Linked DNA regions of Drosophila melanogaster. The protein of the gene in region 2 interacts with the protein of the main gene of each other region in a biochemical or structural test. Each region holds a gene or a part of one and is shown on either strand. Other genes may lie near its edges.

Region 1 (4,922 bases), 6.8 Mb from region 2:
GCATGTCCATCGTGGAACCACTTAATACGGGGACTGGGATTTCCGGTGGCCCGACAGGGTAAAGTAGCAACTGATCCCTTGGGCAGTGTTTGATTGGCAGGTCCGATTTGAATAATCGGAGGTGGACGCTCGTCTAACGAGCTGACTTGCAGGAAAACCCGTACTGTAGAGGAATCGACTACACTGAAAGCGGAACACACATAGTAGCCTTCGTCTTCCTGCCGCACATCCGTAATCTGCAGAGTTCCATCGGCAGCCACATGCTGCCTCCCGTGCGAACTATTTGGGAACATGAGAGTGGATACTCCTTCCTTGGTCCAGAAAACAGATGGCGGTGGGTTTCCGGAGGCCATGCAAGGTAGTTGGACAACACCATTTAGTCCCACTTTCTTGTTACTGGGTCTTTTCGTAAAGTTCGGCGGAGCTTTAATGAAAACAATTGAAGATTAAAACGCGATTCTTTGGTAATGGAACTTAATCTTACCATGGACTATAAGAGAAGCCCTAGCGCTGATCTGACCGACATTGTTGTGTGCCTCGCAGACATAGGTGCCCTCATCGGTGGGCGTTATGTTGGATATCTCTAAACTTTTCTCGTCGTGAAGGATTCGCGCTCTGGACACCGGAATATTGCCCTCCTCCTTTTTCCACAACACTTTCGGCGGCGGATCACCGCCCACTGAGCAGTGGAAAGTGGCTGTCTGGCCGTAGAGCATCACCTGATCCTTGGGCTCCTTCATAAAGTATGGTTTGACCTGGACAATCAGCTTGGCATAGCTGCTCTCGCGGGTGCCTACCAGATTCTGGGCAATGCACTTGTAGTTGCCCTCATCAATGGGCTCCACATTGCTGATCAGCAGGTTGCCACCGTCCACAATTCGAACGCGGGAGCTGGCGCCAAACGACATGGCTTTCAGGTCGTCCAAGGGAACGCCGTCCTAAGAGCACAAAAAGCGGTTTAGACAACTGACTTTCGCAGTCTGGTTTTCGGAACCCACCTTTATCCAAATCAGCGTTGGCTCTGGAATGCCTTTGGGCGGCCCACACTCCAGCAGAGCCGTCTCGCCTTTGGCCACTCGCGTGTCTTTGGGCTCCACGCGAAAATCGTCGCGCAAAACTAGCGAAGAAAAATTGCAAAAATATCAAAAAAGCACATTATAATCGGAGACAAAGCTGGGCGTGTGGGCAGACAAGTTGGAGAGCAGACTAGAGTGGCGGACTAACTTACCAGCTATCTGGAGCGAGGCATGGCGACTAACGGCCTGGCCCACTCGGTTCTTGGCCACGCACCAGTACTCTCCGCCGTCCTGTTCCTTCTTGCCCTGCATTGTCCTGTAGAAGAAGAGGGCGCCGTCCTTGAACTGGACGCGGTGCGATTTCTTTTCGTTGGTGCTGACGGGTTCGCCATCCTGAGAGCGGAAAGAAGAGGGGGTGATTGAGTTACGATTTGGTTCGGTTTCGAAGGCTACACGGAAAAAAACAACTACTCAAAACCACTTATATTTTGTATAATTTTTGAATTCATTTTTGTTTTGATATTTAAAGATAAATAAATATACAATATTGATATGAAAACATTAAGATCAAGTTTTCTTTTGCCAGTGTAATGGTGATTCAAGTTAGAAAAGTATTATTTGGTGGGTACCTTAAACCACTCAATGGTGGGTTCCGGCTTGCCCTCCACTTTGCAGTTGAGCGTGGCGGGTTCATTCTTCTTAACGACCAGATCCGTGGGATGCTCGATGATACGTGGCGATTGGTACTGGCCTGAAAGGAGTAGGAAGGATGTGGATTAGCCACTGGGCCTGGGGAGGATTACCCAGGATGGGTTTACCTCTGACTGCTGGCAGGCCATTGCTGGCCACCAGGACGAGGAGCAGCCAGGCGGGCAGGAGCCACATCCTGCTGCTCCGACTGCGAGATGGGTTATTAGTGGTGCTCGTGCTCCGGGCGATGGCGTGGTTTTCGGGATGCATGGGATGCATTTTATGGTGTTGGTGCTGTTGCAATGACGACTCTACAGATGACCCAATGCAGCGGCGATCATTTTGGCGTTGTTTTTGGGTCCTGCGATGCATGATAGGTGATAGTATGTGGGTTAACTAAATGTGGGCAGCTGTTACATATGTAGGCGTGGCGGCATTATGGCTAGGCATTTATGGGCTTTACTTGCTTTTTGCTTTTTATCTGTCCAAAAACTCGAAATTATTTCTCGCCTGCTCCACTTACGCTTGCATTTCCATGCGATAAGCACACACACACGCACACACTCACGCACACTTGGACACTCACACACCCACACACATGTGTCTATGCTGGTTTTCCATTAATTTTATTTCCGTATTTATCTGCCTTTGTGTTTATCGCTCAGTCTCAGTCGCACCGACCCGAAAATTTACAATCCAAATTCTGATTCGGAGTTTTGATTTCACGTTCTCACACTTTCTTTCTAACGCTTTTTTTGTATCGTTCGCTGATTTGGTTTTTATTTTCCTTTTTATTTTTTGGATTTTATTAATCAGCCGCGCAGTGTAAGTTTTTGTTGGTATTTATTCGACGATTGCTCGCTTTTCGGGGTTGTTTTCTCCATCATCTCTCCTCGCGCACATTTTCCACATTTCCCGAACGAAATTTCTTTTTGGTAAAATTACAAGAACAAGAACTGCCCCGCCACCCCTCTCACTCGCACACACTGCCGTTCTAGCTGCCTCTCGCTCGCACCGCCTGCCGTTCCTGGGACTTCCCCCCGTTGTTGTTGTATCTATATCTATAACAGAGTGTTGTATCTATAACTCCTTGTAATATTTGCTTTACATCCGCAGCAGCTGCACTTTGTAATATCCGAAAACGAGTATCTACTTCAAATGGAAGCTTCGCGGTTGGATCGTACTTTCTTGGGTGCAAACTTACTCCAATTTAACTGTTGGAAATTAACTATTTTCCTGCTCTTTAGTGCGATTCACGGCGCAGCGAAAACTCACAATTGGACGTGGGTCGTGTCTGTGGAAATTTGAGAGCGCAACGCCCGGAATCGATATATCGATATATTTTGGGGTGTACCGAAAAGGAATACTCGAAAATACCAGAGGACATATTTATCAGTTGATCTGGTAGCGCCGCGTAAAGTAACTATTTGAATCTTTAATTGATTTCTATTGTATTGAAATTGAAATCGAAAGATATACCAACTATGTTTTAAGATATTAATAAAATGTAAATATTTAAATTAATGTATGTATTGTGATGTTGAATGGTTTATTAAAAAATTCCGTTTTATTCAGAATATCTATATAATTTGTGTGTGATTGCTTAAATACGTATATATTAATATTCATGTTCACGGTAGAACCAACTGTAAAATACTATAAAAATATATAGATAATTGTTATGGTAGAGAATAGTTCCTACACCAATTTAAGGTGTTTTGTTTAATATAGTTTCCCTGCATTAATCAAATAACTACAGAGTCTAGCAAATTATTCCATTCTGGCCAGGTTCATCTTTCCCCTAGCCAAAGTCCTCGAAAGAACCACGTTGGAGAGGTTGGCTTCGAAGGCAGGCGCTCGGCTGCGTCCTGGATGCAAGTGGAAAGTGGGAGGTGTGGGCGCCGCTGGGCGACGACCAGTCGGCTGGGCACTCTTCACCAGCTTGGGCTGGAGCTGCAGGCGCGACACTCTGTCCACGGACATGCTCTTGGGCCGCCGGGCTAGATAGCTATGGACGTGGCTATTGGAGCCATTGGCAATGTTCAAATTTACCAGGTAGTCCTGCAGCTGCGTCTTTAGCTGGCTGTTCTCCGCCTCCAGGCGACGCTTCTGTTGCTTCAGGCAGGCCACGTCCACGGCCACGTTGTTGACGCGTCGCCAGAAGGACTCCATTTGGGGTACCACTGCCACCTCGTCCTGGTACGTTAAACCAATGTTGAATGAAGAAATTACCTACTGGCATTTTTACTCACCTTAAGAAGATCAGTGGCTGGGTCAGTCAAGGAACCATTACCCTGATCCTCTATATCTCGAATCTCGATAATCTCCTTGGATATTTCCGGCAACTGGAACATCCGCTCCCGCTGGGTTTCCATCTTGGCACAGACCGCAGACAACTGTGCCAGAGTCTCGCCCTTGGCCACAGTTTCCTGGAGGAATTCCAAGGCATGGTAGCTCTCCACGGACATCAGCTTGAACAACTGGTGATCCCTGGCCACCTCCTGTTCCACACAGGTGCGTAGCTCCCTTAGTCGCTCGGTCAACTGCTGTTTGATGGCTTGCCGCTGCTCCAGTTGGCCCTGTTGCTTGATGTAGAACTCCTCGGAGACCAGACGCAAATTGGTCAGCTGGTCTACCAGGTGCTCGATTTCGTGGGTCTGCTGGCTAATCTGGAGGGCTGCCTCCTCATCCCGCTGCTTCAGATCCACGTACTCCGAGTAAAAGCCTTCGATGTGCTGACAGTAGCCCGCCAGAACACCCTGATACTCCTGCCACAGCTTCTCCAATCGAGCTTCACCTCTGGAGGTGATCTGCTCCAGCTGTAGTTGCATCTGGAAGTGGGGTTCAATTTAACATGTTTTCATAAACTTTTAAAATAACCTTTATTGTAAAATATAATCATCGAAGAGCATTGCACGCAATTGTAAAATTAAGATTGATATGTGTCTTGGTTCATTGTGCGTCAGTCACTCTGTAATTTGGATGCCATTCTCCAGAACTATAAATGATGTGGGCATAGCTGCTCCTCCATTCAGTTCCCAAGATGAAACAGTTGATTTTCCTGCTGATTTGTTTGAGCTGCGGCACCTGCTCCATTTACGCACTGAAATGCAGATCCCAGGAGGGACTAAGTGAAGCGGAGCTCAAGCGAACTGTGCGCAACTGTATGCATCGCCAGGACGAGGACGAAGATCGAGGACGAGGTGGACAGGGCCG
Region 2 (4,893 bases):
CGCACGGCTAACCCTAATTCCTCTGAAAAACCCAAAAAGACACGTCGAAGACGAGATAAACACAAACAAAACACTTGGCACCCAGCCGGGAAGGGGGCGTGGCTGGGGGCGCAGCCATCGGAGTGTGTAATCAACACTTTTATGTGATCCCCAATCCAATTCACAACTAATTACCAAAGCATCGATGGAATAGGAATAGGAATAGGAATTGGATTTGGATTTGGAATTGGCCTAGGGCATCGCTACATCGGCATGAAAATGTTGAAGGTATGGGGAGGGTTGGGGAATGGCATTTGGATTTCGATTGGGCATGGAAATGGAAATGAAATTGGGTGGCTCTCGCAATTAACGCTGGCATTAAAATCAGCCCAACGATTCCGTTTCCAATTATTTATTACACTTTCTGGTGCCTTTTATGCTGCTGCTTCTGCTGCGCTGTGCAGTTTGTTTAAACAAAATCAATCTAAATCGATTGCGCTACATTTGGAAAATAGAGACGTAAATCAATGGGCAGGCGACGGAGATGGAGGTGGGTCTGACCAGCCAACCAGGGACTACCAGAGATTAAAGGGCCCTCGGCGTGGCGATAACAAAGTGGTTTGTCCGCTGGAAATTAAGGCAAGCTGCGCCAAGTGAAGGTGCCGCGGGCAATGCCACCAAAAGAGGCAAGTACGTGTGCGTACTCTAAGTACATACACTGGAATTTACAGGGTATCGAAAGGTATGTACGATGGAGGAAAGGAATGTTTAACGGCTAATTTATAATCTTTGCTTCTCTAGGTCATAAAAATAAGTAATTAGACCACACGCCATATAAAATATGAATGGCCTTTTAGTATTTTTATAAATATGAAAATACAGGTAAATAGCTAGGCGAAAGAATACCATATATATAAATATCCTTTTGTTAGGACTTCATTTGCGTCACATCACCATCTGTTTAGTAACGTGAAATCCACAAAGGAAATAAGTTCTTAATTTATGCCGCCCCAATAACTTCATACATTACATCCATTAGTAACCAAAAACAAATCCGAATGGATTGACACAAGTCAAGAGTATCGATTAAAATGCTTTTATTGGAGCAAACAACAAAGGTTATTGAAAGTTATAACGGAAAGTTGTCGCGACTTAACTTCTGGCATGTGCACCTTTTATGATAATGTCATTGCGTATATGCCCCCGCCCACACTGTACAGAGGATATCGGTTAGTCGTGACTCCCGATCCCACGCTCCCTCCTCCTCAAGTGTTTATTTACACTTGTCTTATTTCTTGTTTGGAGTCTTTGGCGTGGTATCTTCTTCATTTTTTTGGTTTTTTTTTTTGTTTTAAGTAAGCGATTAGTGGCGGGAGACAATGAAAATTTGTCACTTGACAAGGCAAAAACAAAACGATTTCCATTTGCCCGACGACAAATGAGACATAAGGCAGGCACATAAGTGGATCCCAATTCTGCCCCTTAAATGCCAATGTATTGGAAGTAACAGCCAAATCAACAAAACAATCGTCTTGAGAGGACGTATGTGTGGGATGGAATGGTTCGGGATGGTATCGTATCGTATGGTATGGTATGGTATGGGATGAATCGGAAGCCCGCCCGCACACGCACTCGATGATTGTTATTAGTACATTTGCTGTGGAGTATATCTAATTTGCCATTGATGTGTGCATTAAGTTTGTACTGGGCGGCATACGGCATAGGAATTGTCGTAAAGCATTAGTGTCCCCCGAGATTAGAGCGAATGGAGGAGATAGGCCGAGGTGGAAAGGGGCCATGGCGGAAAAAGGCTGGCTCATCGCCCTTTTATTTGACATTGGGCAATATTTATTGCGAACTCATTTCAATGCTGGCAGAAACTAGGAAGAAAAGCTGACAGCGAAAAATGTACAGTGAAACCAGAATACCCTGGGCTCAGAAAATGTTACTATAAATACTAATGGGAAACCAAAGATGTTGTGGTTCTAATTGATGACATAATAAGATTATGTACATGAACTTATATATTTTTCAATTAGCAATTTGAAGGGGACTTTATACATTTAAAAATCAAATCACCTACGTAAGTGTAATATTTTTCATGTGACTGAGGCACACGATAGTTCCTTCTAGCCAGATGCGACTGTAGAAGGATAGCGCAGGCGACAGGATACGCAATACGAACAAAGCGGAATGGCAAAATACGCCATCAAAATAAATAAAAACAGGAGAAAACAGAACTGAGCGAAGGCGAAAACAAATTCGGTAGCACAGCATTCGGGGCTTTGGGCGGGAAAGAGATAGAACGAGGGGAGGGTTATACGTTACACTTCAACGTTACCGTTACGTCCCACCCAAAATGTAATGAAATCCTTTGTGTGCGTGTGCTTACGTGTCGGTGCGTGTATGTGTGTGTGTGTACGTTTTTGTTTGTCAACTTTGGCGAGGCGGGACATAAAAATGCTAATACAAAACACTAGAGCAAATTGCAGCAAAATAAGTTGTGAGTGGCGGCGGTGGAGGTGTGTGAGTGGCGAGCGAACTTGGCACCAGCTAACTAACTTTGCACGCAGGATTATCGCAAGGACACTTACCGTTTTAATCAGGCGAAAACACCGCTAATCCAATCGTAATCGTAACACCCACACAGACAAAGAAACAAAACACTAACACAACAAAGACACTAATTTTCGGCACTTTGCAGACGGAATTTAAATTCGACTTTTGCGCTTTTCTGCTGCTGCGATTTGTGCTTCAATTCGATTCGATGCGATTCGCGCAGACAAACGAAATTCAGGAATTTCAAGTGGAAATCTCGTTTGAGCACTTTTCGACCTGCGACTTACGAAGACGGCGCGGCAGAAAACTTTGGCCTTAACTTGGCTTTAAAATGGCCGTGCAAATGTGGATTGGCTAAGAACGCGCGACTTCAATTGCCAATGCACACTTTATGGTTTTTGCTTAAGTTTGGCAATTGCAAATTCTTTGCTCACCGGAATCTTCACTCTTGGTTTATACTATAATTCTTTTTGGACGCTCTACGCGACGCGATTGAAAGTGATGCGTGCGTCTGACCGCTCTCGTCGCCGTTCGAATTTTTTATGTTTCTGTTTCGCTGCCGAGCAGTGTTACCAGATGCAGGAGTAACCTCACCCGGCAAGAAGGGCCTAAAAAATACCGCGTTCGCCAACAGTTTAAAAGTTTCTTGTTCCAACTTAAATTTCAAATATTATGGTTAATAAGGGTCCAAAAACTCGTTCATTATTAAAGTGTTGATAATATTTTCATGAAAATATATATTTATTTAAAACTTTATAACTATCATCCCAAATTATAGAGTAGTTGTACTACACACATTGGCTTGTATAAGAACCCTTATCACTTGCTTTTATATAGGTCTCAATTGTTATTTATGTATTTCTAGCATTAAAATTACTAATTATAAGTAAAAATAACGGTATCAATTATTGTGTGAACTTCACAAAAGTTCTAGCCGAGACTCAACCCATTTGAACTGGTTCTTTGAACCAGCGCTGCCAGATATTAAAATAATAACCGCCAATTCGTGCTGATTTAAAAATTCCGCGGATTAACTTTTTTGCAGGCCAATCCCTTTGGAATATGCAAGTCACAAAGAAAACAAAAGAAATGGCGTGACATTTTAATCGAAATATGCAGCAACTTCCTGGCCCGCCTCATTAGGCGCCTTTGTTGGCTACGCCATCCTGGACTTCCGTTTATTTTCACTTTTTTTATTCAACTGGTCACGTTTGTTAATCGGCTTAGGGCCCAAGTACGTATTCCCTTAAATAGCTGACCCTCGAGAGCTGGGCACGTAGGAGGCCTACTCCATTGTTGGGATAATTTTAAGGGCAACTGTGCAGACAGGCGCGATCCGTAAGCCTAAAATATATGTGAAATGGAATTAAATGGGGTGGGTTGGATCGAACTGGGAATACCGGTTGTAGGGATCAAAAGAGCTCACACTTGGGAGTACCAACTAGTTGTTTTCGTTATTATTCGCATAACTACAAGGTAATATTCGTATTTAGATAACTAGCGCTAATCAAGTCTAAGAAAGCAAGCGGATATGTGGATCGCATAAGAGTTACGCTATGTACGGTACGATATTAGTCAGTTAAATCACAGATGTATTATTTCGCGCGCACTCCTCCGCCTGTCCAGCCTCCAATTCGAGCTCCAGCTCCACACCGGGCGTTCTGTCCGGTGGCTCGGCATTCAGCACAAGATTCTCTATGGATCGGAATGAGGCGTCCTCCAAGTGCGTGGACATGGCGGCGGTTGGGGGGCGAGGCAGGGTGCTGGCAGTGACCAAATTTCCGCCTCCCTGCGACTGGCGATGTCGCACCGAGGAGCGCAGTATGGTCACCACATCCTCCGCCGTATAGGGCCGCCTCTCCAGTGTCGAAGCACCCGAACGATGCAGTTTCCTGCCCAACGATTGCGAGCGTTGGGAGTAGCCAACGGGTCGCTGGTCGATCTCTATGGACTCGGGACTGCTGCTGGAAGCTGGCGAAGGATCCGCGTTGAAACTACTGCCAGCCGGATTGGTCAGTATGGTTAGGTAATCAGGCGGCGCCGCTGGCGAAGCAGACTCCGCATCGAGGGAGAGCACGGGTCGCGTTCGACTTGAGTCTCCGAGAACCCTGTGTCGATAAATTGGTCGTAAATAACTTTTTGTTTATATTAAGGGATGGTTTTTATGTACCTTCTTACGCTGCGGCGAATGCTCTGGCGCAGAAGCTTGGCAAGGCGGGCTCCAGTGGCCGTTGTGTAGGACGGAGGTGGTGTGTACTTTGGCGGAGCATCGTTCTGTGCATCGTGTTGGCCGCCCTCCGTGGTCTGGCCCAAAGCATTACGACGACTTTGGGACGCCGTTTGTCGAGCGGATGG
Region 3 (4,794 bases), on a different chromosome or scaffold from region 2:
TTCCAGACCGATGTCTCTCTGGGCTCTGCGTTCTGGGTTCTGGCCGTCGTCGTAAGCCTGTTGTTTTAAATAATTAATTATTGTTTGGCTGGCAAATAGTCGACTGGAGATCGAATGCTCTTAGGAAAGGCGTACTGAAGCCACGGCTAGTTGCAATTAGAAGTAAATACTTTTCCCCAAGGAGTGGCTATGTGTTTTCTAAGGAATTCGATCCAAATTGATTTTTTTATTAGAAGTAAAACTACATATTACTGAAAACCTATCACTCCCGTCCTAGTCCGTATTTTCGAATATTCCTAGAAGTACGTCGCTATCCGCTAGACCTTTCGCCAGTCGACTTGCAACACCTCCACCCACATTGGCCCGACTTTCAATCACATTCCTGCCCCAAACTGTGTGCCAACGTATCGGTGCTAGCTATGGCATGGATACTATCCCATAAGACCCCTCATTATCTAGCCTGCAGCTGGGAGCAAATGGGAGATCTCGTTGAGTGCCGGGCGATTGGTAGGGCAATCATGTGATTGAACAAATAACATGCTACGGAGCTGCCACAGCACTTGACTTCATTTCTTTCGCCCGGGAAAGTAGGAAAACTAAGCCAGAGACCGCTACTTAGCCCAATTTTCGCATAATGCACATGAGAAAATTGCACAAGAGCCGAAAGGCTTTTGCCAGGCGGGCACCCAAAAAAAAAAAACACAAAAACACAAAAAATGCCAACATAAACGGCCAAGACAAAGGAAAGGATAGACTGCCACCCCCGGAGTCAAAACGAAAAAAAAAAAAAAAAAAACAGAAAGAAGTGCAGTCAGTCCAGTTAGCTGGAAAAACGCTCCCCAGAGTGGCATTAGAAGGTTGCCAAGGCTGTCAACCCTGCAACTTTGTGTTGAGGGCGATAATTTTTATGACCCCGACAGATTCTCAAGCCGACTGCGATTGACCCACCACCCAAAAGCTGGGCTGCTAACTGGATCTCGCTGGTCACACACCACCAGAAGTGAGGAACAAAATCCTGTCGTGTGCCGGTGCAGATAATTTTATACAATTTATTATATCAAACGGGCGACGTCGCGTGCAACACTTGCCACGTCACATCGGCCATTTCGGGATGGGGACACTGAGATACAGATACTTGGTGCTGCAACACACAGCCTCAGGTTGCGTGTTCAAGTGTTTACTGAAATCCGAATTCAAAAATCCCAATCCCAATCCGAATCCGAGTTGCGTGTGTCCATGGACGATATCAGTGGACTGGGCGTCGTTGGTTTGGCATTAAAAAGCGTTTAATAAGCATTAGATTACAACATTCTCAGCGTTGCAAGGGGTGTGACGACTTAAGCTCATTTAGATATATGTTTTATCGGCGGAGGTATAGAGCCATGAAATCGCCAAAGGGTCTAATTTAAAAGCGTTGCTTAACTCCCATTCCTTAAACCGCCAACCTCAAACCATTTCGCTTTAGTTTTCTTTTTGAACTTGCCATCTCGACCACAAAAGCCACAAACTCGATTCTTTGTTTGATTTTCCTGTAATCAGTTGCGAGATTGGAGCGGGAAACTACACTCGGTTGATTAGTCTTTCGAACTCATTACTCATTTATCTAAAGTTCGGTTTTGGTTTTGGTTAGTGATCTTTCCCGAGATCCTCCCTAAGGGGTTTACAATTTCTGTGTTTCGATTTACCCTCATCCAACTGAGTTTCCACATATGCATTTTTTTTTCACTTTTCTCGGGTTCGATGTGTAATACGATCTGTGTATTCTTTGGAAGTTGTATTTAGTTTTCCCAAATGTGATCCCTAAGTGGGTTCAGTGGGTTAGCATTTGTTTTTTGGTGTTCGTTATGTGGTGATAAGGAATAATGAGGAATTAGCAGCATTGTTCTTAAAAGTATCCATACTAATAGATACTTCTTAACCTTCCCTAACCTGCAGAGAACTTCTGAGAGATCTCTGGAATTACGATACCGATTGCAATGCCCTGCCAAAGCCCAAACATCCAGCTATGCCCATCCAAAAGTCGCCCCATTATGTGCATCTCTAATGAGAATCGGGAGAGAGAGGCATGAATAATGGGTCTATGGGCAGAGTCGATGTCGCGTTGTCTATAAAGCGGCCTTAAAATCCATTAGCGAACGTTGCAGGCATAAATAAACCGCAGTGCCTTAATTTCACTTTGTTGTTCGGTCGGGCCGCGTGTGTTGCAACCAAAAATAGCCAAAAGACGGAGTCGACCAACAAAAAAACGTAAATGGAAACAAATGACGCTAATAAATAAATGGGGAGTGCAGCGACATGAGGAGGCAACTCATATGCGGCCGCGAAGGATTTTCCCTGGCTCTGGGAGGAAATAGTTTGTCATAATGCCCTTCAAACTAAAACAGAGATCCCACAATGCAACCCTGCGAATGCAACTCTGGAGATGGACGCATCTTGCATCTGTTGACACTTACCCTTGAGCGCTCCGACTTGAGTTAATCCGTTTAATCCCGCGAGGAGCAGCAGCAGTGGGAATACTGCGCGTCGACTCCGATCGACTGGCATTATTTTTAGCCGCTCCCCATGAAAATCTCGATTGTTTCTGTGTCGGCGTTTGATCTCGCTGGCAGTTTTATTTTTGATTTTGCTTTTGATTTTAATTTGAATTTCGCTTTCGTTGGTTAAACACTGAGGTTGCAACCGCAGCGGCATTCCACGCATCTCGCACAAATGCATTTTGTCAAGTATTCTCGTTTCGCCTCCTTAATTGCACACCATTTAAAATAGATTTGCACTCATTTCTCGATACGCGCAATCTTTCGGATCTTCTGTTTTGGCACACACAGTATTTCTGTTCCTCCGAGTTAGTTATTCGCTAGCATCTGAATCCATGGCGGCGCCACTAAGTCCGTTTCCCGGAACGACGACGCGCGTAACCCGACGAATCGAACGGATACGGATATATGGACTGTATCTGCATCCGCAGCACATGCGAACCGGCTGACAATCGAAATGCGACTGAGGAACGAATTCTCGTTTCGCCTCGGAGCCGCCACCCGAAGTCCACTTCGGCTACTGCTTCGTGTCTGTGTATCCGAGTACCATCTAGTATCTGTATCGCTTCGTGCGCTGTTCCGCGTTCCAGTTCGTCCCGCTTGTTGCATGCTGTGGAACGCGTTGGAACTTTGTTTACTTTTACTGCAAGACGGTTTGTTTTGTTCCGTCTTCACTCGTTTCGATCCACGTGCCCTAGGTTTATCGTCGAGTCGTGCAACATTTCGGGTGGTGGTGCATCATCATGTTGCTATTGAGTGGATGTGAATTGTTGGAATATGTATCTGACTTCCAGGACTAGATGGGGATTTCTTTGCAGCACAACACATAGTCATGTATTTATTGGCTTTTTTTATGAATAATCTGCATCATTTGCTAATACAAAAAAATCTACATTCAAACGGACTTTAACACCATGCCACATCCATTTCCAAGTCCAACTTGTTTATCTCCAGCTCTTTTCCATTTTTATTCGATCATTCAAGCTCTTTTTCACGTTGTCAAGCCAACAAATTGCCAACCTTTGTGCCGCTCAGCCTCAATAGTTTCCATCCGAATCCGAAAACATTTCGAGCTCGGATAATCCCTACTTGTTGCGCTTTATTGCCCTCCAGCTCCACCGTGTCCGCTCAACCCTTCGCCGGCGCAGAGAGTCGAAAGAGCCCCTCCAAAGGGGCGACCATTTCATATCTAATCTGCTCGAGTGCCCCACTCACTCTCCAGCTGTTAGCTCATCTATTTCCAAACTGCAATAAAGCCAGACACAGTTCTAGACGATCCGTTTCACAATGCGATGAATAGAAATCAAAGTGGAGACCCGTTCTTGGACACTGTCCCAATATCTAGACGCCTCTGCGCGCTAATGAATTTCGAAATCAATTGAATGGCCAGCTAGACGATATTGTATTAATTTATCAAAGTGCATATCCGAAAGGGCTTTCCTCTATAAATCGCTGCCTAATTTCCCAGCGTTTGTTAAATAATCAATAACTTTTCCTCCAGGTAGAGTTCTTCGGACGAGTGTGAAGTCAGTTCATTAATGCCGGTGCTCAGAAAATACAGATACAGATACATTCGACGGGCAGAGAAGTGTAAAATAAAGGTGTGTATCTTTCCTATAAAGGAACTATGCGTGCATTTAGGAGCGGGCAGGTGTGGATTCCCTTTCCCCCTCCACTTCCCCTTTTCAGAGTGCAACACAATGTGCATTGTCTCTGCGAGAAAGAAAGGTCAAAGTGCGTACGGCGTATGTGAGTTTGTTGCCTTCTCAAGTCCCTCGTTTCTTCGATTCTCCGATCCCGACTCTCGAATCCCGATTCCCACTGCCGCTCACCTTTTATAGAGGCGAAGAATCCAGGTAGAGGAAAGAGAGAATTCGTGGCAGGTAAACCATATTTCAAATGCTGATAATTGGCCAATTTACAGCCAGGGCGAGTTGCTCTGCTTGAAAGGCGAGATATCTGAGCCCGGTTGCCACGCTTCATTAGCACTCAAGTGAAGTTGGGCAACGCTGCAAGTATATACGATAATATATAATATATAGATACCTTATGTCCTTTACCTTACCAAAGTAAATCCAATGTGCTAACTATCCGATGGATTCAAGCATGGATTTTTGATCTATGCCCGCAACACCCAAAATATTTACTCCTTAAGCTGGCCCGATTAAACCTGCCAACCCATGACCTTACCAAAACAGAGGGCCAAGAAGTTTGGCAACACTGGACTGCACTCTGAGTTATCTAGGCTGAAATGTTGACA

What was found.
Region 1: the proteins of sli (region 2) and robo1 form a complex in vitro, tested with the Drosophila melanogaster proteins (2 studies listed by BioGRID).
Region 3: the proteins of sli (region 2) and robo2 form a complex in vitro, tested with the Drosophila melanogaster proteins (2 studies listed by BioGRID).

What each region holds. Positions count from the first base shown.
Region 1 is NT_033778.4:22,697,968-22,702,889, forward strand, and holds the start of robo1 (roundabout 1), read right to left. Parts: upstream 3,004-4,922; 5' UTR 2,911-3,003; intron 2,629-2,910; exon of another isoform or gene 2,230-2,628; intron 2,068-2,229; 5' UTR 1,986-2,067; coding exon 1,835-1,985; intron 1,768-1,834; coding exon 1,646-1,767; intron 1,410-1,645; coding exon 1,229-1,409; intron 1,118-1,228; coding exon 999-1,117; intron 939-998; coding exon 485-938; intron 425-484; coding exon 1-424. Other genes in the region: CG30259 (uncharacterized protein), read right to left, coding at 3,477-3,902, 3,959-4,537; Obp59a (Odorant-binding protein 59a), read left to right, coding at 4,750-4,922.
Region 2 is NT_033778.4:15,919,066-15,923,958, forward strand, and holds the start of sli (slit), read right to left. Parts: upstream 3,054-4,893; 5' UTR 2,574-3,053; intron 1-2,573. Other genes in the region: bdg (bedraggled), read right to left, coding at 4,118-4,646, 4,709-4,893.
Region 3 is NT_033779.5:1,417,451-1,422,244, forward strand, and holds the start of robo2 (roundabout 2), read right to left. Parts: upstream 3,004-4,794; 5' UTR 2,716-3,003; coding exon 2,454-2,715; intron 1-2,453.